Linked DNA regions of Tamandua tetradactyla. The protein of the gene in region 2 interacts with the protein of the main gene of each other region in a pairwise test. Links are inferred from orthologs where the notes say so. Each region holds a gene or a part of one and is shown on either strand. Other genes may lie near its edges.

Evidence for each region.
Region 1: the proteins of KIFC3 (region 2) and NEFL interact in binary tests that used the Homo sapiens proteins (3 or more experiments, as listed by UniProt). The two-hybrid records come from large-scale screens. The link is inferred for Tamandua tetradactyla from reciprocal best matches to the Homo sapiens genes KIFC3 and NEFL.
Region 3: the proteins of KIFC3 (region 2) and MFAP1 interact in binary tests that used the Homo sapiens proteins (3 or more experiments, as listed by UniProt). The two-hybrid records come from large-scale screens. The link is inferred for Tamandua tetradactyla from reciprocal best matches to the Homo sapiens genes KIFC3 and MFAP1.

Annotation. Positions count from the first base shown.
Region 1 is NC_135329.1:25,881,166-25,892,352, reverse strand, and holds the start of NEFL (neurofilament light polypeptide), read left to right. Parts: upstream 1-6,506; 5' UTR 6,507-6,554; intron 6,555-11,187. UniProt on the Homo sapiens protein: Neurofilaments usually contain three intermediate filament proteins: NEFL, NEFM, and NEFH which are involved in the maintenance of neuronal caliber.
Region 2 is NC_135342.1:51,503,122-51,513,815, reverse strand, and holds the start of KIFC3 (kinesin-like protein KIFC3), read left to right. Parts: upstream 1-5,489; 5' UTR 5,490-5,552; intron 5,553-9,497; 5' UTR 9,498-9,536; coding exon 9,537-9,702; intron 9,703-9,751; exon of another isoform or gene 9,752-9,809; intron 9,810-10,694. UniProt on the Homo sapiens protein: Minus-end microtubule-dependent motor protein. Involved in apically targeted transport. Required for zonula adherens maintenance.
Region 3 is NC_135340.1:58,062,514-58,073,390, forward strand, and holds the start of MFAP1 (microfibrillar-associated protein 1), read right to left. Parts: upstream 4,682-10,877; 5' UTR 4,520-4,681; coding exon 4,441-4,519; intron 1,062-4,440; coding exon 842-1,061; intron 1-841. Other genes in the region: WDR76 (WD repeat-containing protein 76), read left to right, coding at 6,779-6,835, 7,493-7,891. UniProt on the Homo sapiens protein: Involved in pre-mRNA splicing as a component of the spliceosome.

The DNA of each region.
Region 1 (11,187 bases), on a different chromosome or scaffold from region 2:
CGCATGTAGGGCAATAAATTTCCCTCTCAGCACAGCCTTTGCCACATCTCATATGTTCTGGTAAGTTGTATTCTCATTTTCATTCATCTCCAGATAGCTATTCTCTAGCAATTTCTTCTTTGACCCACTAGTTGTTTAAGAGTGTGTAATTTAATCTACATATATTTGTGAATGTTCTCGTTCTTTGGTGGCTATTGAGATCCAGCTTCATCCATTGTTATCAGAGAAAGTGCTTTGAATAATTTCAATGTTTTTAAATTTATAAAGACCTATTTTATGCCTCAGCATATGATCTACCCTGGAGAATGTTCCATGAGCACTAAAGAAGAATGTATATCCTTGTGTTTTGGGGTGCAATGACCTCTACATGTCTGTTAGGTCTAATTCATTTATCAAGTTATTTAACTTCTCTATTTTCTCATTGATCTTCTATCTGGCTGTTCTATCTGCAGAGGAGAGTGGTGTATTGAAGTCTCCTACTATTATTGTTGAAACATCTATCACTCCCTTCAGTTTTGCCAATATCTGTCTCATGTGCTTTGGAGTTCCTTGATTGGGAGCATAAACATTTATGACTGTTATATCTTAGTGGATACTTTATAAATTAATATTTTAATCAGTATATAGTATCTTTCTTGCTCTCTTATGATGTATCTATTTAAGTCTATTTTGTCCAATGTTAGTACAGCTGCTCTAGCTTTCTTCTGATTACAACTTGCATGGAAAATCTTTTTACATCCTTTCACTTTCAATCTATTTGTATCCTTGTGTCTAAGATGAGTCTCTTATATATTAAACAGCATATAGCTTGATTATGTTTCTTAATCCATTCTGCCAATCTGTATCTTTTAATTGGCTGGTTTAGTCCATTAACATTCAAAGTTATTACTGAAAAGGTATTTCTTGAATCCACCATCTTAACTTTTTAATTTTATTTGTTAGATCTATATAATCTCTTCTCTCTTTCTTTTTATCCTTTAAATTACCCTTACTTGTACTCTTCAATTCTGTGGCCTCCTCCAGAACTCCCTCTCCTGTCTTGCTTTTTTTCAGCCAGGAGAACTCTTTTAGTATTTCATGTAGGGCCAGTCTCTTATTGACAAATTCTTTCAGGACTTGTTTTTCTGTGAAAACATTAATCTCTCCATCAGTTTTGAAGGACAGTTTGGCTGGGTACAGAATTCTTGGTTGGAAATCTTTCTCTTTCAGGATCTTAAAAATATCATACCACTGCCTTCTCACCTCCAGGGTGCTAGTTGAGTAGTCTGAAGTCAGTCTTACGTGGTTTCCTTTATATGTAGCAGATTGTTTTACTCTTGCCAGTTTCAGAATTTTCTGCTTCTTTTCAACATTTGACAGAGTGATTAGTATGTGCCTTGGGGAAAGTCTATTTGGATTTATTCTGCTTGAAGCTCACTGGGCTTCTTTGACTTGTATGTTTATGTCCTTTATAAGGGTTGGGAAGTTTTCCCCTATTAAATCCTCAACTGCTTTTCCTAGCCCTTTACTCCTCTCTTCTCCTTCTGGGACACCAATGATTCTTATATTTGTGTGCTTTGTTTTGTCTATAATTTTCCTGAGATCCAAGTAAAAATTTTCCATCTTTTTTGCTATTTGCTGTTTTGTGTCTTCGAAGTCAGTTATGCTGTCCTCTATATCGGTTATTTTTTTTCTGTCTCTTCAAATTTGGTGTTGTGTGCCTCTAGTATGTTTTTTATTTGGTCAACAGAGTCTTTAATCTCTGTGATATCCATTATTTTTCTATCCATTATTGTTCTTTCAAATTTCTCTTTATGCTCTTCTACTATCTTCTTGATCTCCTTTATGTCATTTGTTATCCCACTTATTTCATTAAGTAGAAATGTATGAATATCTTTGATTAGTTGTTCCAATGTCTGTGTCTCCTGTGGTGTTTTAATTTGGTCATTAGGCAGGGCTATATCTGTCTGCAGTGTGATATGCTTAGTAATCTTCTGTTGTTTTGTTGCACTGATCTTGACCGATTTACTTTGGAAGTTGATTTCTTTCAGTAGTCTAAAGCTTGTATTCGTGGGATAGATATGCAACAGGGAGCAGGGTATGGGGCGGGGCACAAGAGTGTGGTAATTTGTTTCAGAGCAAGTGTAGGTTCAGGTTGGGGATGTGATGCTGATGCTTGTGAATGTGGGTGCCCAGTGGCCAGGGAGGATGTGGCTGTGCAGGTGCACTCATCTGGGGGACGTAACCCTGGTGTGTGTTGGTTTAAGGCACAGAGCCCTTTCTGCGCATGTGTAGAGTTGTGACAGCAGGTTGGTGTTATGCCTTTGTTGGTTGGGGGCAGATGTGATCCAGTAGTGCAGGTCAGCACATTCTCAGAGCTGGGAAATGTGACTTCTCTAAGTTTTCCATGGAGCAGGGCTGATCTTAAGCTACTCTAGTCTGCCATCTTCCTGGAAGTCTCCTCTTTACCAATTTTTATACTGCAGGTCTACTAGCTACAAATTTAGATTTCATTTGCAGACAATTATTTCTTTCACCTCTTTTTTTTCAAGAACATTTTCATTGGTTATAGAATTATGACTTAACATTTAAAAACTTTTTCATCATTTAAAGGTGTCTTTCCATTGTTTTCAAGCTCCTGTTTCTGATGAGAAATCAGTGATCACACTTATCCTTGTTTCAGTGTAGGAAATGTGTTTTTTTCTCTGGCTGCTGCAAGTCTTTCTCATCTTTGATTTTTAACAGCTTGACTATGATATATCTACATCTGCTTCTCTTTATATTTATCTTGTTTAGGATTTGCCAAGTTTCTTGGCTAAGTCAATATTGTTCCTAAATCAGGGGAAATTTTATCATTATTTCTTCAAATAGTTTTTTTCTGCCCCAATCCTACTCTTGTCTCTCTTTCTGAAGCAACAAATACATGCATATCAAACTGTTACTGCCTCACAGGTTTTTGAAGTCTCTGTTCACTTTTCTTTCATTTTTCTTCTCTTTTTTCTTCAGATTGCATAATTTCTGTTAATCTGACAAGTTCACTGATTTTTTTTCCTGCTTAGACCAATAAGATATTAAGCTTATCAGTGACCTTTTCATCTCAGTTTTGGTAATTTTCAGTCATAGAGTTTTGATTTAGATACAATTTTTATTTCTCTCCTGAGATTCCCTATCTCTTCATTCATTAAGACTATGTTTATCCTTTAATTCTTTCAACATATTTTTGTTCAATTCCATGAACATTTTTTATCATAACTGATTTTAAAATCTTCATTTGCTAAATTCAACATCTGAACCACCTTGGGTTGGTTACTATTGACTGCTTTTGTCATTGGCCATGGATCGCATTTTCCAGCTTCTTTGTTTGTTTAGTGACTTTTGATTAAATATTATACATTTGGAATAATGTTGTAGAGGTTCTGAATTTGGTTACCTTCCTCTGAAGAGTGTTAATTCTTGTTTTAGCAAGTAGTTCAGTTACCAGCTGATCACCTTGAACTTGCGTAGGCTTATTTTTTTGTTTTTGTTTTTTGCATGGGCATGGGAATTGAACCCGGGTCTCCAGCCTGGCAGGCGAGAACTCCGCCTGCTGAGCCACCATGGCCTGCCCTGTGTAGGCTTATTTTAATACTTTGTTAATAGGATCTGTGGATACTCCAAGTAGAAAATTCCTACTTTTGAAAATAAAGTTTTACTGGAACATAGCCAAGCCCATTCATTTCCATATAGTGCATAGCAGCTTTTGTGTTACAATGACAGGATTGAAGAGTTAAAATAGAGGCCATATGGCCTATAAAGCCAAAAATATTCCTGCTCTAGAGCACAGTTCTTTCACCTAAAACAAGGTCTTTCTGGTTTCTCAGCTGTATTCCAGGCGCATTAATTAAATGTTGTTAAGACCTTTATTCTTTTGTGGTCAAGGTCCAAAGCCTCTGGACACTGCCATTCCCCCAGCATTCCAAGTTATCTGTTAATTTTTAAAACCACAGTAGCCGTTATATGGTAAGTCCCAGATGATCTCCTCTTGCTCATTTCCAGTCCAGTCCTCAGTCATGGCCTTGTCCTCGAGGAACTCCCATATAGACTTTTGACCTGTCTTCTCTGCATAGCTCCCTCTTTGCTGATGCCTTGCCCTGCAGATTCCAACTGTTTAAGTTGCCCAGAACTGTTCTCTGTCTCTTCAGCTTAACTGCCAAGCCATGCTTGGCCTTCAGTGCTCTGTGATATGGCTGGAAAATTGTCCGCTAGTAGAGCATTGGATGGTTGTTGGTTTTATCTTGTATTTTTCTCCTTCAGGAGTAACAATCTTGGGCTGCTTGTTGTCCACTGCTTATAATCAGTTCCTTTAAATATTTTCACCTAGTTTTATGTTGTTTACAGTAGAAGGACTAGTCTGGTACCAGTTACTCCATCATGAATAGAAGCATAAATCTCTCCAGTTCTTTTTAAATCCTCATCACCCTCTTAACAAGTGATACCTTCCAGAGTCTGTGGCTTAACTTTTCATTTTTCCTTCAACTCCCAGATGGATGTGTCCTCTCTTTTTCAGAGAGGTCAGTTGTCTAAGGAATCTGCCAGTAATTTTCTATTTTCTCTCCTAGGGACATCTGTAGTTCACAGCAAAACAAATGCAGTAACACCTCCTGAATGCAATGACACAGAGCCCTTTCAGACTTTAATAACTAGCTCTACCCACTGCCTTTTGTTCCCTAGGATGACTCAGTACAATGTATATACCCTTCATGACTGTGAATTTTTAAAATTACACTTCACAAGAATAATCATGTTACATTAATATTAGTTCACATTTCCATCTTTGTAAAAAGAGTAGTCGGTTGCAGGTTCAAGTACAAAATAATCAACAATACAATTAATTCTCATCATGAAAAAGAAAAGAAAGGGAAAGCCAACCTCCATTTACAGAGGGACAAGGATGATGTGCCAGGTAATCTGTGATGCATTTTTACACATATAGTATCATTTCTCACTGCAACCTTAAGGAATGGGTATTACTATCACCAGGCTTTGAGAGACAAAATAACTTGCTCCTGCTCACATGCCTGGGCAGTGGTGAAGTCCAGAAATCAGATTGGTTGTTTGGCTTCAGAACTCTTTTCCACACACCAGACCATCTTACCGAAAAGGGAAGAACTGTTCCTTCCCCTTACTCATATGCACAATTTATAAGACTGCATACTTGCTGATTTACTTAGCATTTTAAATCTGTCCTTGATTTAAACTTATTTTACTTGGCATAAAAATGTTGGGGATGGGAAAAGAGTGCAGTTTCCCCAGACTGAAATTAGCCTGTCTGCATTTACAAGGGCAAACCAAGAATGAGATAGTAGGAGGGCTAGTCTAAGAAACAAAATTTTTGCTCATCCTTCTATTAACTTTAATAACATTTATAAGAACTAACAATAAGTAACTTCTGTCTGCCCTGTGCTAAAGATTGCAAACATAAAAATTAATCTCCTCAGCAACTTGGGAGGTATCTACTCTTGTTATGCCCCATTTTACAGATTAAATCAATACAGTTTGGGGAGGTTACATAATTTCTAGCAGATGGTAAATAGTAGAAACATGGAATCTGTCCCAGACTGCAAGATTTAGAGTCTGTGCTTTCAATCACTGCCTTATACTCATTTCCAGCTGTGTCCATCTAAAACATTTTTATTCCACAATCCTGGAACTCTGAGAATTATAAATAATTCCAAACAGACTTCGTCTCTTTACCCTCCTTGCCCATAACTCTTTTCTGAAGCCTTGGAATAAGCTTCAAACCAGACTTCTATAAAACTCAGGAAAAACATTCCTATTCTGTCAGGACTATAAGAGTTAAGTGTGTGTGTGAGAACAGGGAAGGTGGTTAAATGTTCATTGCTTATGTGATTACGGTAATAAATGTCCTGAAGATGTGAGTACACCCTCAATTTAATTTTATCTTTTGTGGCTGGCAGAGGCAAGTGATTTTCCTATAGCGTAAAATCTTCATGTATTTTGGAAGAAGACCTACTAATTTCTCAAGAACAAAGATAAGGCAACCTCAGCTAATAGATTATTCTTTACTGCTACAGTTACAAAGTAAATAATTCAACCTGTCTGGGATGTGTGCAAAAACCCTTGGGAAAAATCCAAAGTTAGTTGTGAAAATTTGAAAAGAAAAGCAGAAAAATAAATAGTTTCCTGGAACAGAAAGAAGAGCTTTAAACATTAGAGGGGCGCCTAAAGAGAGGACAAATGATTCCATCTCCCTCCGTCTACTCTGTTCCTGGTGGGAGAAAACCGGTGCGAGGGCTTGGGAGCCCGGGCGATGGGAGCAATTAGTTAGAAGTGAGAAAATGGAGAAATAGTTAGGCAGGGAGACTGGATATGCGTCTTTGGCGGTTGCGCAGGCTGCATTCCTTTCTCACGCGCCGGTGGCTCTGCTAATTTCGTTCTCTTTCAAATCAGGCAGAACTCCTTCATTGAAGGATCCGGCTAAGCTCGCAAAGATGGGCAGTTTCTGATAGAGATCAGCAAGCGTCACCTGTGAATCTCAGAAGGGAAAGTGTTAACCCAGACCCCTCCTCAGGAAGGTCAGTCACTCCAGTCCTTAGGCCTGGGCCAGACCTTAGGAACGAGGGCCTGTAAGGGCCTATGGGAACAAGGTCCTATAGGAAGGGCTCCTTTCCACCCCCTCTCGCACGCCTCCATTCTGCCGTGGGAAGCTGCCAACCAGAGTAGAAAGGCCACAAAGTTCCTTAAAAGAACGGTTCCTTAAACCGCTAATGGGTAAGAGGTTGAGTAAGGGACCGCTGCGTGTGTCCTGGGTGGGGGGAGGTGAAGCGGAGAAGCGGGGGCTGGGTGCCAACCAGCAGCATTCCCGGCGGGTTGCTGCGGCGTTTTGCACAAACAGCACACGTTTCTCACGGAGTCGCTGGCGCCTGCTGCAGTGACCGAGGACCGTGGTGTAGGGTGAGAACAGAAAGGAGAAGGGTGGCCTAAAGAAGAGAAAAGGGAAAGGGACTAGGAGCCCTAAAAAGCCGATAACGGGCAGAGATTGAGAAATCCCAGAAAAAAAAAGACAATAGGGACTATGCTTTGGGCAAACCACGCAGAGGAGGAATTAGATGGGAAAGAGAACAGTAGCCCAGGCAGTACCTCGATGATAAAAGACAAAAGCTAGAGCAGCAAGGACAGGGTCAGGTTCTCGGAGACCCGGGCCTTGACAAATCTTGTGCCTCTGCATCGCCGTGTATTCAACTCTAAAACCAAGGGATTGCTCCCGAGCAGGAAGTCAGAGCTCCTTTTTGAATTCAACGAATATTACGTGTTCCTTCTCCAGACAAGTGGGGCGCATTTTCAGGGGGCTCCTGTTCGCCCTCAAGTGCGCCAGCTGGTATAGAGGCGCGGCCCTGGACCCTGGCTGGGACTCTTAGCAACCCTGTGCGGGAAGGAAAGGGGGGCGCTCGCGCTAGGGAGGGGGCGCTGCGCCGAGGCGGCCCGGCAGATAGCTGAGCCGCCTGGGGGCCGCAGCTCCGGCAAGAAATGACTCAGCGTCCTCCGGCTGCAGGAAACCGGAGCGGAGAGAGAAGGCCCCGCCCGGCTCCGCATCCTGCCCCGCAGAGGCGGCTCTTGTCCCGAGCCTCAGCTCCCAGCGTGTGGTGTTTTGGGATATTGTCCCCATACCCTAAGTCTCTTTTGACCAAAGGGATATTCCCTTTTTCTCTCTGGTCCGGCACACCGCCGGCCCAGGTGCAGCTTCCCGGGTGATTCGCACAGCGCCCCTGGGGTTGTGCGGGTTCAGGGTACCGCTTGCTGGCCTGCCTTACCCTGCAGCACCCCGCATTTCCAGGTTTCAGGGGGCAGAAAGTGCAGCTGCCCCTCCTGTTCGCGGGATTGCCCTTCACCCTTCCGCAGTGCTCGCTGAGCTCGCTCTCCCGACCTTCCTCCTGGTCTCATTTATTTTTTTCTTCCCCGCTTCTTTCTCCGGAATAGTTGGGGTAGCATTGAACTCTGAGAACGCTGCAGCGGCATCTTCCCCAGAGCCTGGGCAGGGGGAGAAGGAAAGAAGGCAAGCTCGGATAGCCAACTCAGGCTGACAACACCGGGGGAGGGGGGACAGGATGGAAGAGGTCGTGTAAAACAAAGTTTTCCGCCGAACAGCGCGATTGTCTTGACGTGGACTCTCAGCCTGCAAACTGAGGGCGACGCCCTTGGGTCCTTTCCGCGACCCTCTCACCCATCTCGCCGGTAGAGGCGCTGTAGGAGCGGCAAAGCCCTCTACCCAGGAGGGGACTATGCAATGACCATTCTTTCAATAAGAGGGGGAGTTTGGCTTTTTAGAAAGGCTGTTGTGCAAAGCACAGATCATTAATTGCACGGCTGTACCAGCTCAGGGAAAAGGGAACCCGAAAAACTTTTCCCAAAGAAAGGACGTGGAGATATTTAGTTGACTGTCTCTCTGACTGCCACTTGGTTGTCACACTGAAAACCTGCCCAGTTAATAGAAAATATTACACATAAGCAATATATTTATATATTTTGTTTATGATATATATATATATATAGGCCACTTCCTTTCTTCTAAATTATGCTGGTTTCTAGCTCAATCTGCTGAAGTATTTATCCCCAGGGCCTGCCCTTGCTGCAGCCAAAATTTTATAGAAAAGTCTATTAAATCCTTTCCTATGCAGATCTAGTCCCCTTGATTCCCTGTTGGCTTGTCTTCTAATACTTTATATTGCCTCCTTCATCCTGCTCCCAGCAGAGAAAGGGTGACTCATTAATTCATTCATTTATTCCTCCTTATATGCATCAGGCATTGCCCTTTGCAACCAATATATCAGGGTCCTTTTTAATATAGACATTTGCATCTTTCCTTCTCTGTTACAAACGTGGACATTCTTTTCATTCCTTTTTGCCTTGAATTGTTTAATCGTAGCCTCTTTGTTTCCTGTGTCATTATGAAAGGGTTGTCTAATGACAAGGCAGAACTATAAACTAAATGGGTTTCCGTGACAAAGCAGAATCTCAGTGCTTGAGAGACTTTTAATGAGACATAACTTTGGCTTCTGGCGAGACCTGCTGATGAGGATGAGATAATGTCTCTGGCAGAATGGATGAACTTGGGATATAACCTGTTAATAGCCAGACAACCTGAAATCTTTTTGCAAAACGTCCCTGGGCCAATACTCAGGCACCTTGGTGCCTTGCTTTCTCCTATTGCAGTTCTGATCAAAAGATATGCTATTTGAAGACAGCACAGTCAAGTCACAAATTTGACCTACCAGAGCATATACAATTTAGAACCAGAAAACTGTGTCACTGGCAGAAATATATCATGTGCCAATGTTACACTACATTGACAAAGGTCTGCAGTAAGGACTTCCTGTTCCAGTATCCCTTCTGATAGCTTGAAATATGCCTGAACCACCTGCCCTTGGAAAACTGGCCCAATTGTCTTCTTTCTCTAATAAGAAACCGATATCCAGGGAAGTTTAGTGCCTTGTTCAACTGTAGAATTCAGTACTCCCAACTCTCTGTGCAGTACTTTTTTCTGCCATTCACTGCTTCCTTTGTCAATAATGGCCTGGGATACCCTTTTATAAAATATGTATACTTTTGGGAGGATTAGTGTACTAAAGCATTGCTCTCTCAATGTGAATTCTTTAATTATTAGAGGTTAATAAGTGAATCATCTGGAAATGCAGTGAAGTAAGGAAGGAGTGTGTAAAGAAGTGGGTGGAGAGGAAACTGCTACAGCAAGGACTCTTGGGAATCCAGTTGTCATGTGGGGCAGTTGGGGCTAGCAGGTGGGCTGAGACACTGGACAGCAAGAGGGGTGTGGGAAATGCTGTCTGGCCTAATGTGCATTGTGGCTGGAAAACAGACACACAGCTCTCCTTCTTCCAGGTCTGGGTATCGCTCAAACAATTGCTTTACACATGCTGAGATTATTTATTGTTTATCATCCTTTAGCCACTTAGTCTCACTCCTTGCTGCTGCAGAGTGGTGAGGAAGTGGGAAATTATTATACAGTGGGGAGCTGCACACTTAAGAAAGCACCTGTATCTCTCAATTCAAACTAAGTGTCCGGCATTTTAATCCATCTAAGAGCTTTCTTCTCAAATGAGCTGCCTGAAGGGGGTTGCTCGTCAGGTTTAAGGAAGTATGCTAAAGGGAGAAGCACGGCCAAGAAAAACTGCAGCAGCATATATGAGATTTGGCAGGAGGGAGCCAGCAGGGCAGCTGCAGTGGACACGGAAAATGATATTTGGGTTCCAGGTTTAAATACAGTGCTATTTTTTTCCTTAGTAATTTACCTAGTCCTCAGGGTACTCTTATATTGTTTCAATAAGTCAGTGTTATCAGCAATAATGTTATGCTTCTGTCAGCCAAGAAGCTTTATGGAATCAAAGAGAGACTAGCAGGTGCAAACACATAATATAAGATATATGGGGACCCTGATCACAGCTTAGTTTTTCTTTTTTAATAATAAACCTAAAGACGGCATGCCAATATTTCTTATAAATTTAACTCATAGGCATCACTCATCCAGTCCTCTTGGGTCTTGTAATGTCACTCCTCTGGCTAAAGGAATACATTTGCCCCTGAAAGTCTTAAACTTTACCATAATTCTGTGGCTATAATGCATAGGTTATATTATAGGAGAGAGGAAAATGCATAAATCTTCAACTTTAGTGTACATTACAATGAGACATTAAGGTTGTTCAGATTTGTTTTTGCCTAAAGATGCAGTTAAATATAAAAGCAATTTGAAGATTTTCTGTTTCCAAACATAGAATGAACACCTCAAAATACTCAATCATGAAAGTTTCCAGAAAGAACATTACATTAAGGAATGAAATTAGGCAGCACAAGGAAGCCCAAAGAAGAAGAGGTATTCAAATAATAAAGTCTTTTTTCTATATACTTTCATTTAAATAAAAATGCCACATTTAAAGAATGAAAATTAAGTAAAGAAGATTTTAATTAAGGAGTTTGAGTATCCTAACTATTAGTTAAGAGGGAAGTAAAAAATCATTTAATTAAGGTAGATATTGGTTTTCGCTTCCCTTTTAATTCTCATCAAATTGCCAATTTGGTTCTAGTATATCCTAAAAAAAAAACATTATATTTTGTTTAAGGCAGTTCAAAGCAAACTTATGAAGTCTTTAGATTTTTTTTTTGCTCTCCCTGGCTCCTCCACTCAGCCTTTCTCTTGCT
Region 2 (10,694 bases):
GTGAGTATGAGTTAAGGGTGGTGGGATTTGGTTTCTATGACATTTGTGCAAGAAAAAAGCAATCAAGTTAAAAGCATAAGCCACCTAGAATTCACAGCAGATGGGGAGCAATGGATGGGGACGTGGAAGCAAAGTGGGAAGGACAGGAAGAGAGCATGTCTTGGCATAGAACAAAGGAGATGGAACAACTGAGAAATGAGAAGTCGAGCTCCGGGTGAGAAGGGTGCAGAGGCGGCTTCGGGAAGGTCTGTGGGACGGTGAGTCAGAGGGGAGGAGGGGAGGAGAGGGGGCAGGGTTAGCTCCTGGGTGAGCTTCTCCCATAGCCATTCTTGCTAAACCTTTTTATTACCTGGAGCTTGAGTACGTATCTGCTCAGCGTTTTCATTCCTCTCATTTTTTAGAATACGGGAAATTATAGAGAAGTAAAAAAGTCTCATTTGCTTTTAAACTTGGAATGCCAGGAGGGAGGGAATCTCTGCAAATTCTCCCTCTCGTCATTAAGGGGTTTTAGGGGAGTCCAGGAAGCACTGCTGAGTCCAGCCTTCCTGGTAGATGCAGAAAGGAGGCCACGATCTAGATATTTTTAAGTGAGATAGTTTTACTGGGGAGAGAGATGCCTCAATTCCCCACAGGGTGCCCTGGAAATGGGAGAACTGTTTCCTTCTCCAGCTAATAACACGAAGGCTGGAACAGAAAGAGGAGAGGAGAGGAGAGAAAGGTACCATTGTTAAAATGTCTTTGAGCACCTATTGCCTGCAGGAGAAATTCACAGTCTAGCCCAGGGCCCTCATAGAGGACACCCCCCCTCCCCCACCCAGGGCCCTCCGAGAGGACACCCCGCCCCCACACCTTCCTGCCCCCTGAGGGGTGTGGCCTCCTGAAGGCTAGCACTGGTGAGCCCTGCCCCAGGCCCCTAACACGCCCTTTATTTGTCTCAGCCCATTGCATCCTCCCCGCTGTGCTCCTGGAGGGAGATCTGTCCCCATTTCAGGGGGCAGGAGAAGCTCGGAGGTTAAGCCATGTGCCCAAGTCCCGTGACTGGTGAGGGGTGGACCTGGGACTCAAACCCACACTTGCAGTTATCGGCACAGAACCACACTCTTCACCTCCCCGCAACCCTTCCAGTTCTTTCTGTAATGCTCATGACAACTGTTTCAGGGGTTTTGGAAGACTTGAATGAAAAACAGCAGCTGAGTCAGGATTACTTAATAATACGCAAGTCAACCCCAGAAGGTTGTTCTTGAACTTCAAGAAAATGTCTGCTGGCTTTCGCAATGTGACTGTGTGGTTGTGAAAACCTTGTGACTGATGCTTCTTTTATCTACCTTATGGATAGATGAGTAAAACATTTGGATTAAAAATAAGTAAATAATAGGGGAAACATGTTAAAATAAATTTAGTAGATTGAAATGCTAGTGATCAATGAAAGGGAGGGGTAAGGGGTATGGTATGCACGAATTTTTTTCTGTTTTCTTACTTTTTTTCTGAATTGATGCAAACGTTCTAAGAAATGATTATGATGATGAATATACAACTATATGATGTGAATTACTGATTATATATGTAGAATGGAATGATCATGTGGTAAGAATGTTTGTATGTTGGTATGTTTAATAAATAAAATAAATTAAAAAAATAAAATAAAATGGCTACTACCCAGAAGAGAGAAAGAGTGCATGCCTAGAAGAGAGGAGGGGTTAGAAGAGAGAAAAAGTGCAGGTTTAGAACAGAGAAGGGATTAGAACAGAGAAGAGGGTGCAGATTTAGATAAGAGAAAGGGTATGTGCTTAGAACTGCCGGAGGGCGCTCTTTACTGCCCACATCGAGTTTATTTGCTTTCCAGAGCCTTATCATTCCTGTTGATAAGAACTGCCATCAGTTTACATGGGAAAAAAGTCTGTTCTGATCAATTGAATTCACCTTTGTGCTTTCCCTCTGAATTCTACATGCTCTATTTCTTTAGTCTACAAAAACCTATACGCCCACCAGGCACTGCCCACTTTCCCGGTGATCAAGTCAGGAAAGGGCTGTGCCCTCACGGGGCTGGTGGACTGAGTGGCGTGACAATCCAGTGTGTGGAGTGTCGCCGGGGTGGGGGTGGGGCATGAGCCCAGAGGAGCCCACCTGACCATGCTGGGGAAGGGCAAGGAAGGCGGCCTCTGATCTTGAAGGACTTTTGAAGGTCAAGCAGGAACCAGCCGAGGTGTGGTGGAGGCAGTTGAGGGTGGGGTGACGGACAGAGAGGCCTTCCGGGCAGGGAGACCAGCATTTGCAAAGGCCTAGAGGTGCTAGAATGTCAAGTTAGATGCTTAAAACTGGAAAATCAAATACATCTTATCTGTGCTTTGCCCTTGGGTGACTATCAAAATCAGATCAGCCTCAAACTGGCTTTTCGTGCCCCCTCTTGGTTTCCCTCTGTACTCTTGGCCCTTGACTGCCTCTCTGAAGGATGTTAAGGGCTTTCAAGACTTTTGAACACGAAGGTGGTGCGGCCCAACCGGAAGGCGTGGATTTGCAGTGCTCTCGCCACTGCCTTTTTGTCTGGACCTCCCTGGGACGGCCATACCCCGGCCATGCCCCAGCAGGGAGGGCCAGGCCCCAGGGCAGGCCTCATTCACGGGCTCAGGCGCCTACCCTAGGGATTTTCAGCTGTCTGTGAAATCCTCAGCTTCCCCAGTGGTCAGGTGAGAGCCCGCAGCCTGCCCATCTGTGAAGTTCCGGGGGAGGGGGGGGTAGAAATGACCTTGGAGTCGGCGTGTAGTCCCTGCTGATGCTGTGCATTCTTAAAAAAAAAAAAATCCCATAGTTACGAAACAATTAGTTCTTATATTTCAAGCCAGCGATGTGTTAGTGAGAATTCAGAAAATGCTTCCTCCTAAGGTCTCCGTTTTCTATTCCTTTCCCTGTTGCTTCGATTTCAATAAACCCTTAAATCTATACACATGTGGCAGTAATATATGTGCGTACACATAGGCCTATTGGATTCCTATCTCAGTTCTATCACTAAATTAGTGAATTGATGTCTCCAAGACTCAGTTTCTTCTCCTTTAAAGTGGGCAGGTGGTGGTGCCCACCTCCTCGGGTGTTCAGGGTTAAAGGGGAGCTTGCTTATAAGAGCTCAGTGCCAGGCCTGGCCCAGCATTAGCTCTACATAAATGGCAGCTATTATGTGCATAGAAAAAAAAAAAGACTTCACTAAAATGTTGGCAGCATTTGTCTCTAGTGGGTGGGATTATGGCTACAATGAACATCTATTACTTTTGTAATCAGGGAAAGGGAACAAGAAATGTTATTATGAATTAAAAACCTGGCTTCGGCTTTGTTGGAAGGAACCTGCAGTTGATGTCAGTGCACCAGCCCTCGAGGTCTGCAGTTTTATACCAGGACTTTAAAGACAGCTTCCCTCCCCACAGCCAAATCAGAGGGACTATAATAAACGAAGACACTCGGTCAGAAATCTAGAGGTGCCTCATCCTCGTCCAACCTTGTAGTCCCCTGACCACGGTTGTCCGCAGGGCAGGCAGGGGGAATCATAGGTGCGAACTCCAAATAAGGCCCTCAATCCACTCGGAAAGCTCTTGGGGTTCTTAGCTGGAAATCTCCAACTCCCCAGGGAATGATTCCAGGAGCGTGACCTTTACTATGTGTTGGACTTTCCCTCGGACGTCTTGGTTAGAAAATCAAACATTGATTTTCCGTGGAGGGCCTGGGTGTGGCGAGGCCCAGCAGCTGGGGGTCCTGAAGCCCAGGCTCTCGGCTCCATCTCTGCTCCAGATTCTTGACTGCCAGCCCAGCACCCCAGCAGCAGCAGGAGACGGAGCCCACCTGCGCCACGCACCCTCTCTGGCCCTGTCCTGACTCTCTCTGGACCACCTTCTGTCCACCCTCCTCAGATTATCTGCAGAGCCATCAGCCCGCAACCAGCTGGCTTCAGAGTTGCTTTTATCCCTCTCCTTCCGCATCCTGGAGAGAGAATATTGCCGCTGCTCTGGAATAAAATGCTGCCTCTGTTCAGGAGACAAAGAACAGAGTGGCTCCTCAGGTCAGCTGCCTTTCCTGACTGGATGGCCCCCTGGTCTCCCCATCCACCCCATAAGAACGGCTCACCCACAGGGCTAGGCTGGAGCCCCTGTCCGTTCCCTGGGCTGCTGCTTGCTGAACATGAGGCTTTGAGGAATATTTCACTTTAAAAAGCAAACAAACAACCCAAACAGCTTCCCTGCTCTGGAAGACGTAAATCTGCTGGGGAGGGAGGGTGCCACGGCTGGGGAGGCAGCCTGTCCTGAGTGTTCTAGGGTGAGTGACACTATTAGGTGAAAGTGTGTGTGAGGACATGTGAAGCCCATGCGTGTGCACCAGAATGTGAGTGGACACATTCATTAGAGTGAGCACTGTGCAAAAGCATGTGTAAGTACTAATAGAAGTGCATGTGAGTGAACTAACCAGGGTGTGTGAGAATGCATGCAAAAGTTTGCCCTAGGTTTAAAAGAATGTGTGTATTAGAGTATGAAAAGCCATGTACTAGAGCTTGGAGAGAACACGTGTGTACACATGTGAGTATGCAAAAGCAGATGCATGTACTAAATTGAGTGTATGAGCATGTGTGTGAAGCATGCGAGAGCACTGGAAAGTGTGCACGTGTGCTACAGTGTGAATCCATGTGTATGATAATGTGAGAACATGTGGGAGTGGGGTAAGTGTGAATGTGTGTATTGGACTATGAAGAGAGCACAAGAGGGACAGCATGTAAGCACACGTGAAAGTGCATGTGTGGCAATCAACCAGAGTGTGTAAAAGTTTTCTATTAGGGTTTGAAAATGTGTGTACCCAAGTGTAAGAATATGTGAAAGCATGTGGAATACCAGTAAGAAGATGTGAAAGCATGTGGTATTAACTAGTGTGTGAATCTATGAGAACATGTGAATGTGTTCTTGTGTGTCTACTAAATGAGTGTGAGAACATGTGAAGGAGTGTGGATAGAGTATAAGAAAAAGTGTACTGAGTGCAAGAACATGTGTGAGAAAAAATGTGAGCATGTGTGTAAGCTTTTGTGTGTGCTAACCAGAGTGTGAGAGCCGGGGTGGGAATGCATGTGTGCTATAGTGTGTGAGAGCCTGGGTGTAACAGTGTGAACACGTGTGATGGGGTGTATCCACCAGAGGGTGAGCACGCAAGTGAGCACTAGCGTGTGCAAGGGGCAGTAAGGCGGGAGAGACCCAAGTGGGCAGGTCTGGTCGAAGCACGTGAGGGTGCAGGGGGGCGGCCCTGCGTGTGAATTCGTGTGAGTGTGCGAGGGTGCGCCTTCGCCGGCGCGTGCCGGTGAGTGTGCGCGCGCCGCTAACCCGTGGCGGTGTGGGGGGGGTCGGAGCCGGTTGCCATGGGAACGCGCCGCGGCCGGAGCTAATCATTTCCTGTGGAAAGTGAGCGGGCGGGGCGGGAGCAGGGGCGGGCCCAGGAGGCGGCGGCCTGGAGCTGCCTCTGTCGGCGGGCCGGGCCGGGCCGAGCCCCGGGCGCTGCGGCTACGACGACCGAATCCTGCCTTCGCCAGGCGGGTGAGTCGGGGGCGTCGGCGTGCTGGGTCCCGGCTGGGGCCGGGCTGAGGCGGTCTGGTGCCGCTCGGGGATCCGCGTGCGGGCCGGCCCTGTCCGCGGGACCCCCGTGCCGGGTTCAGCTGCGGGGACGCGGGGAGGGCCCGGCCCGGGAGACCCAGCTCTGTGCCCTCCCCCGCCGTTCAGCCCGAGCGCGACCACCTTGCCCCGAACTGGGCATGGGGGCGGCACGTCCCCTGGCGTCAGAATAGCTCCGAACCCCCGTTCCAGTCACATCAGCCCTGGGGAACCGCGACCCTACCCGGGAGTCGGGTGTCAGTGCCGGGTCCTCCCACCGCCGGGGTCCCTTGAAAGCTGCAGTTTCGGACCCACCCACCGCCTCCGGGCAGCTGGCTCTCCCCGTAGCGGGGCCGGGTGCGGGGTGGGCCAGCTCCCGTTAGGCAGGGCTTGGGCAGGTGACCTCCTGGGCAGTCGGGACTTGGACCGTTGCCAGCCGCAGACCGGGGATCCCAGCAGGAAGGACGAGCCCAAAAGCCACTCCTTTCACCCCCCACTGCCAGTTAGAGCAGAACTCAGGCGCAGAGCAGGGCCTGGTCCTGGGAGATTGGATTTTAAAGAGGATACTGCCTTTAAGTTTTCAAGGGCTTCTTCCCCCTGCCCCAACACATCTGTTTCTAGGTTGGAGGTTGGGGCCTCCAATTCCCCAGCTTTCCTTCTGCCTGAGGCTGGGTGAGCACCCATCCTTGACCCAGTGGAACCCTATGCCCTTGATAAAATAGCCATCTCCTTGGCCAGGGGAGAGTCATTCACCAGGAATGCAGCCTCAGAATGGAGCCCTGTATTTGCAGTGTGGTCATTAGGGATGCAGGGTGATGAGTTCTGCTGTTCTTATGGGCACTTGGGAGTAAAGGATTGGAAATTCAGGTTTCCCTGGAAAATCCAGGATGTGGAATTGTGTGTGTGCATCTGAGGTCTTGACCCCTATACAACCTCCCTGACCTTTGCCTGCTCCGCCAGGGGCCTTCATCGCTCCCCAGCAACAGTGCCCAAACAGTTGTCAAATCTGTTCCCCAATTACAGAAATGTCCCTGGTCTTTGGGGGAGTAAGAGTGGGGGTGGGGACAGAGCTGTAGCTCTATTGCCTTGTCCTAAACCGGGAGAGACAGCTACCCCTCTCTCCAGCCGGCCCCTGGGCACTCACCCACCACTGGAAGGAGTACATAGTCAAATAAAACATGTGAGCTCTTGGTAAGCGCCAGTATTGTTCTGAATACTTGATATATGCATTAGCTGACCTTGTCCCCAACCCTATCAGGTGGAGTCCTCCCCATTTTACAGATGGAGAGAATGAGGCACAGAGAGCCAAGTAACCCAAGGTCTCATCATCTAGTAATTGGCAGAGCCAGGTCCTGAACCAGCTTCTGGTCAGAACTACTCCTCCCTGAGGTACCCCCCACTCCCACCCCATGAACCCTAGGTTCGTAGCGGCCTTGGGATGCCAGGCTGGGGATCAAACACCGTGCAAGTGTGGGGAGGGGGGCAGGTCTTTCTGGACCGAGAACCTGGGGTTTATTTGCTATTCCTTGATAATCTTGTTCCTTCACGCACCTCTGGCTGCTAAATTTAGCTGCTTTTTCCTCTTTGGGCTCTTGTACACACCCTTCCTCTTTCTTCCTGGCTGCCTCCCCAACATCCTTCCTTGAAAGCCACAGAAATATCGTCTCCTGTGTTGCTGCCCCTCAGACCTAGCTGAGCTCCTTTAAAGTCTCTCCCCCAACCATGGAGTTGAGGGTCAGTGCCCTGTGCTGCCTCTCCATTCCCGCAGCTCCACCTGCAGGTGCAGCCACCACTCTCCCTTCTTGCCCGTTGTGCAGCTGGCCTGCGGGGTGTACTCAGCTCTGTGCCATGCAGCCTGGGCAGAGGACGTTGGTGGCTGTCCTTGGTTTTTTGCACACCACACTTGTCTATCTCGATTTCTACAGTGGAGCCAGCCCAAATATTTGGATTGGCCTCCATCCACCCTTTGGCCCACATTCCTGCCCCCTGCCAGTAAGATTGCACCCAGGAGCTGCCTCCTCTTAGTTGCCTTTCTCAGTCAAGGGAGGAAGAGGAGCCTGGCCTTCCTCCAAGGCTCAACATCAGATACCAAGTCTGTGTGCCTCCCAGCTTGGTTCAAGGCTCTCACACATCTTTCCCTCTCAGTGCTTTGATCATTCCTGCCCCTTCTCTCTACCCAAATGCTAACTCTGCCCTATTCTGGACACCACATCTACTCTCTTCACTCTCTCCTTCCCATCCTAGCCAAACTTCCCTAAAGAGAAGGAAGTGGCTTCTTCCTCTAGCCCCCACCCCACTGCTTAAGCCTTCCCGAGTCTGCCCTCTGCTCTGCCCCACTGACACGCTCTCTTAAAGGACCCTCGGGTATTCTGCCTGTTTCAGTTTCTTTCCAGCTTGGTGCCTCTGTGACATCGTTCACTGGGAACTCACCATCCTTGCCTTCTGGCTCTCTCTCCCGTCAGTTCTGAGAACTCTGCACTTGGCTGGCACTCCTGCCACCTCTCTGACCTTCCTTCTTTTAGTTTTATTCCCTTCCCACCCTGGGATTGAGCTCTGTTGTCTCCCACCTGCCTCTCCCTTGCCATGGCACCAGGGGCCATCTTTTGCCTCCCAGCCTCAGTCTCAGTCTCAGCCCTTGATTTCTCTTCTGAGCTTCAATCTGATGTTTGTGTGCATTCGTTTCAGGGCACTCGCCATAAAAGCCATCACAGAGTGCTTGGTGTGAACGTGGCTCAAGCTCCAAAGATGGATGTGTGGTAGACCCTGTCCTCAGGGGGCCAGAGCCGTAGTCAGGGAGGTGTGGTAGCTCCACTAGGAAGTTTTGGGCACCTTAAACTCAATTTTAAAACCAAAAGCAAACTCCTTGTCTCCATCTCCAAGCTGATTTCTCTTCTGTAAATGGCATCACCATTTGTCCAAGTCTGGGTTTGTAGCTTGGTAACTTTAAATGCCTTATAGTCTGCCTGGCATATACTAGGTGCTCAATAAAGACTGTGCAGTAAAGGCTTGAACTCTATTCCAATCATTTACTCAGTTCATGAGGGACCTATGGGCTTTCTTTCTCCAACCAGTGCTTCTCCCAAGGCTCATTTTCCCACAATACCTGTTACCTACCTCTAGCCTCACCTGTATCCTGTTCGGATTATGAAGGTTCACTGGAGTGTTTCTTTCCCTCCTGACCATAAGCTTTCAGTCCTTGTCTCTCCAGATCAAAGAGGACCTCTGGCAAGTGCCTGGCACATAGAAGTGACTCAATAAATAATTATCAAATGAAAACTGAATGAATCCTTGTATCTCAAACCTGTACTTGCCACGTTGTGTGCACAGGGTGAAGGCTAGCTGAATACATGAATGAATGAGCAGACTTTTATGAGAATTTAATATACACAAACCTAACTGAGTAATGGGACAGATGGAAATGTCACTGGCCATGACAGCCAGTGCCCTTTCTGAGGCTTTGCTCAGTGAAATTTTAATATGCAGAGTAGTAGCTGGGTTGGTTGACAGGCCTGGGACAGAGAAGCTTGAAGTTTCAGGGGTTCAGCACTCTCCTAAATACAATCAGAAAATAAGGTATCTTGGGGGAAAAGGATTAGATTAACAGAGATGCTGTCAACTCTTCCTTCCTTCATGTGACCCCTGTGTCTTCAATAGAAGGACTCAGACTGGGCATTTCCACCATCAGGTGACCAACTCCTTAACCCCCTACTCAATTTAACACCCCGGAAATGGAGACAGCCCCTGTTTCATCCTTGCGCCTCGGGTCCTTGGGGAACATTGGCGTTTGGGCAGCGGCTCTGGCTAACAGGTGGTCCTTCCAGGGTGCCAGCCTGCACTCCGGGATGCCGGCCAGCGGTAGTCATGCCCTTCCCTACTTTCTTCTCTCCGCAGGGCCCCCGGCGCCCGAAGGAGCCCGCTGAGCCGCGGGCCATGGTCCCGTCCCGCAGGACGTGGAACCTGGGAGCCACGCCCTCGCTGCGGGGCCTGTGGCGAGTGGGCGGGGCCCGGGAGCCCGCGCCAAGGATGGCTCGCCCCGCCCCCGCCAGCCCAGCCGCCCGCCCTTTCCCACACACCGGCCCAGGGAGGTTGAGAACTGGTGAGTCCGCATTTTTAAAATGCCTTTTTATTTCCTTTCCTTCCTCCAGATACCAGGGATGAGACTGAGGTTTCTGGCCGGTTCCTAAACTCAGCCAGAGCTGTCAGGTAATTACAGGGTGCTAGCCCGCAGCCGAGAGCCCGGGCGTGGAGGCCGAGCGTCAGGCTCTCCGGGCGCGCCTGCCCCGCGCCCCTGCCTGGGAAGAGAGGTCTCGGAACCCGAGTTAATCTTGAACGCAGCCTGTGGGGCAGAGGGGGAAGCCCCGCACACAGGCGCGTTCTCTGACGGGCCAGGGGCCCAGCCTGTAGGCGCTCTCACGTCCCCAACTGCGGGGCTCGCGGTGGCGCTGGGGCTTCTGCCCGCAGCTGTAAACAAGGTAGGTGGAGTGCTGCGAGCCCTTGGCGGCTCTGACACTTGATCCCGCTTGGGCTGGTCAGTGGATGGTGCGAGGAGTGGACGGAGGCGGCTGGGGAGCCTGGTCCGGCGGGGTTGGGGTGCCATGCGCTCCGGGTTAGGTGCCTGCCGGGGCTGCCTTTGTAGAGGCCTCCACGGCAGGTGGGCAGTGAAGGGGTCCCGGAGGCTGGTCTCCTGCTGCCTCCCCCGGGAACTCTCCTTGCCAGCTCCCCTTTCTGGGTCATGTCTCCCTGTGCGGGAAACATCAGGATGTAAGAAACTCCTCTGATTTCAAGAAAGGATTGTCTGGACTGAGGAGCTGCCGATGACCCTACCCTGCTTTTGAGCCCTGGCTTGGGCAGGTGTCCGTGGACATGGGGAGATGGGGTGGAGAAAGGGGTCTCCAGCCAAGACACTTTTGGCAGTTTGCTGTCTATTGGCTTCTGACCCACTGGGAAAGGGGTTAGTTTTCTAGGCAGTCCAAGCTGGCAGAGTCCCTCTGGGCCATCAGGTCCCAAGCCCTTCACTACAGAAGGGGAAACTGAGGTCCAGAGAGGGCCCTCAGCAAACTCCTGTTTGGTTCCCTCTGTCCTGCCACA
Region 3 (10,877 bases), on a different chromosome or scaffold from region 2:
GAATGTACAATGATATAGCTTTTGCAGTGTAACTATATGATTGTGAAAGCCTTGTGTCTGATGCTCCTTTTATCTACAGTATGGACAGATGAATAAAAAATATAGATTAAAAATAAATAAATAACGGGGAACAAATGTTAAAACAAATTGAGTAGACTGAAATACTAGTGATTAATGAAAGGGAGTGGTAAGGGGTGTAGAAAAAAATAGGGGAATAAACGTTAATATATATTGGGTAGATGGAAATATTAGTGGTCAGTGGGAGGAAGGGGTAAAAGGTATGGTATGTATGAGTTTTTTCTTTTTTCTTTTCATTTCTTTTTCTGGAGTGATGCAAATGTTCTAAAAAATGATCATAGTGATCAGTATACTATGTGATGATACTGTGAGCCACTGATTGTACACCATGTATGGAATGTCTGTATGTTAAGAATGTTTGTGTTGCATGTTATTTATCAATAAAATATTAAAAAAAAAAACTTCCCTCAAAAATCAACCAATGGTCTGTGTTTTCTATTCCTTTAATGAGTTAATTAGGACCGTTGGGCCAGAGGTAACTTGCCATTTTCTGAAGCTGCCATTTATTAGCTGTGTAACTTTGGTCATATTATTTACCTAACCCCTTTGCACTCTCAGTTTCCTCATTTGTAAAATGGGGATAACAGTACCCACATCTCATAAGGTTGTTGGCTTATTAAAAAAATTAGTAAATTAATACTTGGAACAGTGTCTGGCACATTCTAAGTATGATTCAAGTACTGGCTATTATTACTGTTGTGATTATTAATTAACCTGTAAGGGTTCAGGTCCTGTTCCAGGGAAATATAACCCTAGTTAATACCTCTCTTCCACATCTTCACTAATACGGTTTTGCAAACGTCGCAGACGGGGGTCACTAGATGAATCTTCCTCCTGTTCCTCAGGCTCTGCTTCTTGTTCTTTGGCTTTCTTAATGAACTGAAATTCTTCATCCTCCTCATCTGAGGACTCCATAGGGGCATAGTCTGGCCGTTTTCCTGATACATAGCGTTTCACCTTCACTTTCTCCATGGAAATCTCCCCTGGATGAGAAAGATTATAATTAATGTTTCAGTAGCCTCTTTTCCAGTGTCCTTCGACTCTTGGCTTTTACAGATGGAGCTGTGTATTCCTTTTATACCAGAGTCTAAACAGAAGACTATCTATTCACTAACGGCGTTTTCCTACAAAGACCAAGTCCCAGGTAGGCATTCTGGTAAATACCAGCACTAATGATAATGAGGCCTACACCTTGGGTGCAATAAAGTGAAGGAATGTGGGCAGATAAACAATAAAAAATGAATCTCCCCAAACACACAGACAGTGCCTATCATAAATGCATGCTATTCCACCTCAAATATACTCTTAAGCGAATTATTTGTAAAAGTGCCTGACACATAGTAAGAGTAACTTTTCAAACATTCTTTTAGTTCTCTCAGGAATTTTCCATGGCAGCCTTTCTACTATATTACCATATAATTTTCTAAACTTATCTATTTTTACTTTCTTTTCCTTTTGCTCATGCACTATCAAACCAGCAAAAGCAGATAATCTCTCTTTTACAAATACAAACATAACCAATAATGAAGGAAAACTAACCACTCATAAGTATAACTTTAAAGAAAAAAAAAGGATAGTTCAAAGGAAAACATAAGGTGGATTTCATTTATGAACATAGATACAAAAAATACTAAAAAACATAAAGCAAATTTATTCCAGCAATATAAAAACAAACAAACAAAAACCTCAAGCCATCATGACAGATTAAGATTTAGCTCAGGACTACAGGGGATGGTTTAAACTTAGAAAAACAGAGGGTATTCTTATTTTGTTCCTATCACACCTTCTAGTCGACAGTGTATTATGATTCTAAGTTGGGCAAGAAGAAAAAGGAAGAGATAAATGGTGTAAGGACTAAAAAGAAAGAAACTGCCATAATTTACAACCATATGATTCTCTATGTAGAAAATACAAGATAGACAAGCCCAGAAAGTTCAAGCTCAGAGAGCTGAATAAAAGACCTACATATAAAAATGAATTTATCTGTACATTGGTTCATATAGTTAGAAAACGTAGTTTAAAAATATAATTTATAAAAGCAACTAATCTATAAAGAACCTAGGAATAAAACTCAAGAAATGAGATGCAAGGTTTTAGGAAGAATAATAAAAAATTTTACTGAGCGATATGAAAGATCTAATTAAATGTTTTATTGAGAAATACATCATGTTCATGAGAAGACGGTGACCATGCCTGAGTTAATCTATAAATTTACAATTTTTAATGTAGTTCCATTCCCCAGATTGATTTGAAAATCATATGGAAAGGGAGGCTAAGAGCCAAGACGGTTCTGAAGACAAATGAAAGGTCCTCTGTACCACATAATGTGGAGGTTCCCTGTACCAGAGCAAGGCTTATTTAAAGTTATAATATTTAAATAATATATTCAGATTATAAAGGTTTTCTAACATATAAGTGTTATATGCACAATTATTCAAATAGGCTCTAAGTTAAAGATCTTTCAGTTTAGTAGGGGATGTAAATATTTAAGATGTTTTTCATACTTTGGTCTTTAATTCATCTGGAATTTTGTTTGTATGTGGTATGAGTTAGGGATCTAATTTTACCTTTTACCATATGGTTAGCTAATTGTCCCCACTCCATTGACTGAATAGCCCATCCATTTCCCACTGATTTTTTTTTTTTTTTTTGGTATGGGCAGGCATCGGGAATGGAACCCGGGTCTTGGGCATGGCAGGTGAGAACTCTACCTACTGAGTTACCGTGGCCCACCTTCCAACTCTCCCATTTTATTTTCATTTCCCACTAATTTTTAATACTACTTCAATACAGCAAGTTCTCAGACGTGTCTTTTCTGTCCTTTCTGTTCTGCTGGTCTCTATGTACCCCTAACATCACATAAAGACAAAATTCAGATGAATTAAATACCCAAACATGAAAAAATCTAAAACATTTACATCCCCTACTAAACTGTAAGATCCTTAACTCATTTGTATCATTATACACACAACACTGAGATGTTAGAAAACGTTTAGAGACTGAATATCTATGATCTCATTGTAGGGAAAGATTTCTTAATATGCACAAAAAGCATAAACCATAAAAAATATATAATTACACTAAAACTAAAAATATTTCTGTAACAGAAGACTCCATAATTAAAGTTACAAGAAGAGCCAAAAAAAAAAAAAAGAGGGAAAAAGACATTACAGATTTGAAATGTATGAAAATAAAACCAAACAAAAAATGGGCAAATGAAAAAAACATGTAATTCACAGAAGATAAAACCCAGAGAGCTGAAAAATACACAAGCAAAATGCCCAGTCTCACCTGTAATCAGGGAAATGCAAATTAAAGTATTGTACTACCATTTCACAACTATTAAACATAAATTTAAAAATCTGATACAACTAAGTGTATGGATGACTACATGGGGAAATAAAAACTCTTTTTCCCTTGTAACCCATTTTGGAGATCAATTTAGCAATAGGTAGTAAAGTTGATGATGAACTCCAGGAGTCTACCCTAGAGAAATTCTCATTCACACATTTAAGAATGATGACTGTAGCACTGTTTGTAATTTGTAAGCTATAGTTTAGTTGTCATGTAATTCATAAGCAGTTAAAATTAATTAAATCTATGTGTACTGGAAGGATAATTCTCAAAAGTCATGTTATTTAAAAAGAAAGGCAAGCGGCACAGGGGTAGGTATAGTATACTTATAAAGCAAAAAAGAAAGAACTGATAATATTTTCCAACTTCCTTACTGAAAAAACTGGCTGTTCCACAGCACTTGGTTTATACCTATTGGACAGGAACCACAAGACTGTACACTGCTTAGAATGTGCCTCTTTTTGCATGTCTTACGTCTACTAGAATATGAGTTCTTGAAGGTTATAGGCACTGCCCCACACCACTTTATATTCAATTTAATAAGCACAGCCACTGCATTCGTTGAAAGGGATGTAAAGCTGAATAAGACATGGTTCCTGCCTCAAGGAGCTTATAAAATTATGATCTAGCAAAGGGGAAACAGGCGCATAAATATCTTTGATAAGTTATAATAACAACATTAACAAGCTACCATGTGGGATAAAAAAGGAACTGCAGGCATTCAGTATACATTAGTCTATGAATCGATGGAGGCCAAGGGAAGAGAGGTGCTTTACGTAAAAGCAGGCAGGCCATAAAAACAAGCTCAGATACAAGTGGTTTTGCCCCCCCTCCCCCCAATACTCCATCTCCCCAGACAATGCGATCAGGTGCGAGTTTAAGGTGGGAAGGTCGAAGAAACTGGAGGACGTGTCGGCAGGGTTGGGGTGGTCGGCTCGGGGGATGGGTTGGGAAGATGCTGGGGCAGAAACAGGTAAGATCCCACTGCAAAGAGGCTCAGCACAGTACCTTTCTCATTGCGAACTGGAACGGCTCCAGCCGTAGACTGAATGGGCGGTTGTTTCATGAGTGCGCTTGGGACCGACATGTTGATGGCAGCGGCGGTGACTCCCAGAACCTAACTGATTCTAAACAGTGAACACGACAACGTCAACCAACAAGAAAAAAACTTCCCCCTAGGTCCACCGGACGCGGGTGCAAGACTGAGGGAAACTCCACTTGCGTCTGGGCTAGACAAACCGGAAATATGTGACCAGAGGATTGTGGGATATTGGAGGACGCCTGGGCGCCTGTGCCTAGGAGGGCGAATCTGTTACTGCGCATGTTCATAGACTGACTTCGCGTCTTCAATATTGCAGGATTTGGAAGCCGCTTCTGGCGGGAAATTGCTTCCTTTAGGCTTTGCGACGAAGAAGGTCCGAATCAAAAGTTTCGCTTGTTATCTTGGTTTGAAGCCGAGGGTAATGGTGTAGTGATGAAGGAGAAATTGAGGAGATAGTGAGGGGTTGCTTGTCCTGATTGTTGAAATTTCAGAAGGATTAGAATTGGGTCCGGATAGTAATCCTGCTAATAATGGCATCTTAATTAGCTTAGTTAATGAGGCTGTGGTGGCCTGAGGTATGGTATTTAGGTCACACGCTAGCAGGTGGTGGTGGTTTTGGCCAGTTGCAAGGAAAAAAAAAAATCCCGAAGCGCCTAGGAAAATACCTGAAATTCCAGCACTCCATTTTAGGCTTTTCAGGTTCTTTCAGTTTCTGGAGGACGACTATTAGAATACTTTTTTTTTTTTTTTGCAGGAAAGTGTTTGTAGATTAACAGCCAATAAGTAATGATTGAATACTAACTGTGTTCACCAGGCTTAGCTGTTCGTAAGGAGTATGTAATATTAAAAGACTGGCATCCTTATGTTGCTTGGATTCTAATTTGAAAGTTTTCAAGGACATCTAGAATCATAATAGAAACCGCCCCAATTTACTAGCTACGTTGTATTAAAAAATGGCTAATTGGAAGTCAGAACACATTTTAGGGGACAAAGGAAATAATGTGGCGGGAAAGAGAAAAATTACAGGGTACCTGTGGGATACCATGAAGTTTGGGTTTATCTGCTAGTAACTTTTTAATATGAGAGTGGTGAAAGTTGTGTGAGTATCAGATCATGGAGAGACTTGAAAGATGCTTTAATATGATTAATTCTCAAATTATTTCATCTGTGTTCTAAAACTTAGCTTAGTCTGGAAGAAGAATTGAAATTGGGCAAAGGACATTGGGTGGCCAAAGTAACCAATCAAGGGAGCAATTTGGGGCTAGGATGAAAAGGGCCTTAAAGACAATTTTCTATTAATGGATTTATCAACTCAAAAAATTATGGTATCAAGAGGGAGTAAATCTGATGGGAAGGCAATTGTTTTGGCTCATAGTAACTCAAAATATAGAAAAAAGTTTTAATATGGATATGACTAGAAATACAGTGCACTAAAATCTTGTAATTTGTGTGTATATATATATATATGTGTGTGAGCATCCATTATTGCAGCACCATTTCTTGAATTTGGTTGGTTGGTTGGTTTTTTGTTTGTTTGTTTGCTTACTTGCTTGTTTGTTTTTGGGAAGTGCATGGGCCAGAATCAACCGGGTCTCTCGCATGGCATGCGAGAATTCTACCTTTGAACTACTCTTGCACCCCTGCAACTTATAGTTTGATACACAAATTATTTGATTTGTAACTCCTTCTTTCCAGCCTCTGGGCCATTTAAAGTCATCATTAGGGTCATGGTTAACCGGTAGGAAGATAGTCAAATATGAATTTTAAATCAGTTATCAGCCCTTGAAAAAAATCAAAATGCTTCCCTTCGTAGGGAGAAGATCCTGCAGTAGCAGTAGGTTAAGTTGGTGATGGGGTAATAAGGAGCCAGTGGGCCAAGGTATAGGCTGCATGTTGATTTTGTTGTACCTTCCCTACATTGCACACCCAATCTAGGTGCTTCTCAGTCTTTCCCAGGCTACATCTCCAAGGCAAATGAGCTACTTTTTCAAAGCGAGAACCCGGCAATACCAGAATTAAAATCACCGGCATTCAAGGTAAAACTGCCGATTAGGTCCCACCGCATCCTTAAAGCATTTTAATCTTAGGGTGAGGCAGGTAAACCTGCCTTCGTCAATGCTGATCACAGTCCTCCCCGCCCGGCCAGCTGACACCTGAGCCTGGAAGCGCCTGGGGGGGGGCGCGGGGCGGCTTCTCGCACCCGCCGGGCTCCGCCCCTCACGGCCAGGCCCCTCCCACCGCCGCCTCCCGCCGATCTGTTGGCGGGAAGGCGCCAGCTGCTGAGAGCCAAAACGTGTCCGAAACATGTCCGGGTCCTGCGCGGCGTCTGGGGAGGAGGTGGGCTCCAGGCAGCGACCCCAGGTAAGGGTGAGAATCGGGTTGACACCTTCTGGTGTTCTTCTCCTTCAGTATTCTTGAGGCAATCTTCCCGGCACAGGCCCGAAAGCACGGGTATATGGCCCAGGGTACTTCTGCGCTCTTAAATTATTCCCCGCCCTGGGTGCAGATTGCTGGGCTTTTTTGGGGGGTGTTGCTTCAAAAGATAAGCGAGATTCCCTGCTATGTTTTTTCTCTGTGGAAAACTAGGCCTTCAGTGTTGAGAAAAGTTCTTGTCAATAACCTCAGAGATAGCGGCACACATCGGATTAGGCACTCCTTTTCTCCTGCCCCCTGCGTTTGCATTTGTAGTTATTGTCAGCGTCACAGTAAACAATTCTAAAGTTTCAGAAGCTGACAGTTGGGATAGTCTTGTCAGTTAAAAATTGTAGTCCTAATTATTGCTCTGACAAACTCATATATGCAAGAAATGGGCTAGTATAATAATTACATTCAGTTAAATGAATTAGGTATCGATTTTGAAGGGGAAGAAAAGTTTTTCTTACAGCTTATCACTTTGGATTTATATTGTGATTAAGATATAGGAATTAGATTTATTTTTACAGATCTATTGGGGACCTTGTAAGAAAAAGCGTAAGACCTGAGTTTCTAATACTGTTTTTCCTTTACTGACCTGAATAGGTGAATGAATATAAAGAAAATGAAACCATCACTTCTGTATCTCTGAGACCAATTCAGTCTCCAGTTTTAGGAAAATCAGTTAAGTTTTGTCTTATCCCCTTTTCACTCTGTAATTACAAACTAGACCAATTTAAGTACTCTAAATCCCTATTAGAAAAGAATTCTAACAAGGAAGTAGTGCTGTGTAAGAAGACTGAAATAAAGAAAATTTGCAGAGGGATTTTAACTCCAAATATGGAAACCACTTCCGAGGCAGAATCCACTCTGCAAAAATCATCCTTAGATGTTCATACTGAAAATAACAAGTTACTGCCGAGCACTTCAGATGCAGTGTTTCTCAGTGTTGATGTGGAAAGCTGTCAGGATCGAGACAGTGATGGAGATACCACACCAGGCCTGGTAAGAATTTAATTAGTTGTTTGTTTTAATTTTTCTTATTGTTTTGAAATTTGAGGTTCTGAGAAGTTAAGGTTATCAAGGGTCTCTCTTGGCCAAACAAATTATTTTGTCATCTAATGGATTGAATTGAAATTTTATTATTTTAAAAATATTTAACCAGTTAGTTCCTTGGGTTAATTTTTCTCTTGGTTTTGATGTGTTGAAGAGAGATTGACTTTCAGTCTTCACTCTGCTTCCCTCTCAGGTTATTGCATATGGTTTTGGGTTTACACATTCAATTATAGCTTTTTTTTTTTGTCATGGGCACGCACTGGGAATTGAGCCCAGGTTTCTGGCATGGCAGGGGAGAACTCTTTCACTGAGCCACCATGGTCTGTCCTCAATTATGGCATTTTACTTATTTTACCTTTACATTACCCGTATATTAGAAGAAGTCAACTTGTGGGACATGTGACATTTGAGTGAGCCTTCATGGAAGGGTAGGAAAACCATCATTAATTGCATTGATGTATTCAGTAATAGTTCCTTTCAAATACAGAGACAGATGAAACACTTATCAGTTCTGTATAAAATAATAGCTTGAATCAGTTTATGGAACTAGGTATCTCATTCCTTTGGCTTCTACTACCTTTCTGGAGTGTTGTGCTCTGTTCAGTGACAAATTTTACTTAAGCCAAATTGAGACCATAGCACATGACAGCAGGTTGATGGAACTAGGGGAATAAAAAGTGATGGTAGAGAGAGGAAGGTATGATAATTGAAGCGTTGTTGTTATGAATTAGGAATTAGATTTATGCTTTATTGTCCCAGAGGTGAGAAAGGACCTATGGTGGGAGAGCACTGGGTGAGTCATACACGTGGACACTTGGAAGTTGGGATCTCTGCATTCAACTTCTAAGAGACTGTGTGCCTTTAGGCAAATTACCTTTACAATGAGAAGATTGGGTTAGATCGTAGTTGTCAAATTTTAACCTTTATCAGAGTTGCCTGGAGGGCTTGTCAAAACATGACTGCTGGGTCCCAACCCTAGAGTTTCTGATTTCAGAAGTTTTGTGGTAGGGAATAGAATTTGCACGTCCTAGAGACATTGATGCTGCTAGTCTGGAATTGCACTTTGATAACCACTGGATTAAATGATCTCTTTGGCAGATTTTAGTTTGATGTGAGGAATTAGAACATGAGGTGGTGTGTACAATATAGTCAAGCAGAGTCATAAATGCCCAGTATAAATTTTCTTAGGACAAACTGCAATATATAACATTTTTTATAGAATACTTCATTCTTTTGTTGTCTTTCCTTGTATTAAATGTCCTTTTGAAATAAAATGACTAAGGCTTTCTGACACCATGCTTTAGTTTATAAGGTCATCCTTTTCCAAGTGAAGAGAGGCTTTTGTCATATCATAGATAAGAGTCTTGGCCTGCAAGTCTAAGATTTTGTACTAATTTCTTGGAAATTTTCTAAATTTTATCTCCCACCCCTTCTATTAAATATTTTCATTTCACAAAGAATTTCTTAACAGTTACTTTTGAGATAATTCTATACTTAACAGAAGAGTCGCACAGTAGTACGGAGAGCGCCCATATACGTTCACCCTCCCTCCCGTTATGTTAATATCTTTTACAACAATCGAGCATTTATCAAACTAAGAAATTAACCTTAGTCCAATATTGTTTACTAAAATCAAACGAATTAGAATTTCACCAGTTTTTTCCACTAACTTTTTTCCTGTTCCAGTATCCAATCCAATCAAATGAATTAGAATTTCACAAGTTTTTTCCACTAACTTTTTTCCTGTTCCAGTATCCAATCCATGATCCCACAGGATATTTAATTGTCATGTCTCTGTATTCTCCTCCAATCTCTGACATTTTCCTCAGTCTTTTGTGACCTTGGCAGTTCCGTAGAGTACTGGAAAGTTATTTTGTATACCATTCTTAGTTTGGGTTTGTCTGATATTTTCTCATGATTAGATTGAGGTTTTACATTGTTGGGAAGGATACCACAACGGTTATGTCCCCTTCTCAGAACATCATATCAGTGTATGCATGATATTATTATGTATTATTGGTGATGTTGGCCTTAATCACTTGGCTAAGGTGATATCTGCAAGGATTATCCTATGTAAACATTTTTCCCTTTGTAATTACTGAATATTTTGAGGGAGATTCTTTGAGACTATGCAAATATTTTGTTTGTGGCATCAAATATGTATTTTTAAAAATTAAGATATAATGAACATAATAAAATTCGCCATTTAAAAGGTTATAATTTGATTGTTTTTCTTATATTCACAAAATTGTGCATCCATCAACAGTCTACCAACTTTACCAAATTCCACAACATTTCCATTACCCCCAAAAGAAGCCCTGTACCCATTAACAGTCACTTCCAATTTTCCCTTCCTTCAGCCCCTGGCAGCTACTAATCTACTTTCTGTCTCTATGGATTTGTCTATTCTGGACCTTTCATAAATGGAACCATACAATTGTGGCCTTTTGTGTCTGGCTGTTTCACTTAGCAGATGTTTCCAAGGCTCATCTGTGTTGTAGCATATATCAGAACTTCATTCCTTTTCATGGCTAAATAATATTCCATTGTGTGGATACACCATATTTTGTTTATTCATTCATCTGTTGATATATCCTTGGGTTGTTTCTACCTTTTGACTATTATGAATAATGCTGCTATGAACATTGGTATACAAGTATGTTTGATTCCTTGTTTTCAATTTTTTAAAGTATGTACCTTGAAGTGTAATTGCTGGGTCATGTGGCAATTCTTTGTTTAGTTTTCTGAGGAACCATCAAACTTTTCTACAGAGGCCATACCATTTTACATACCAACCAGCAATGATGAGGATTCCAATTTCTCCCACCTTTGTCAACACTTGTTATTGTTTATCTTTCTGTTCATGGCCATCCTGATGCGTGTGAAGTGATATCTCATTGTGGTTTTGATTTGGTTTTCCCTAACGATTAATGTT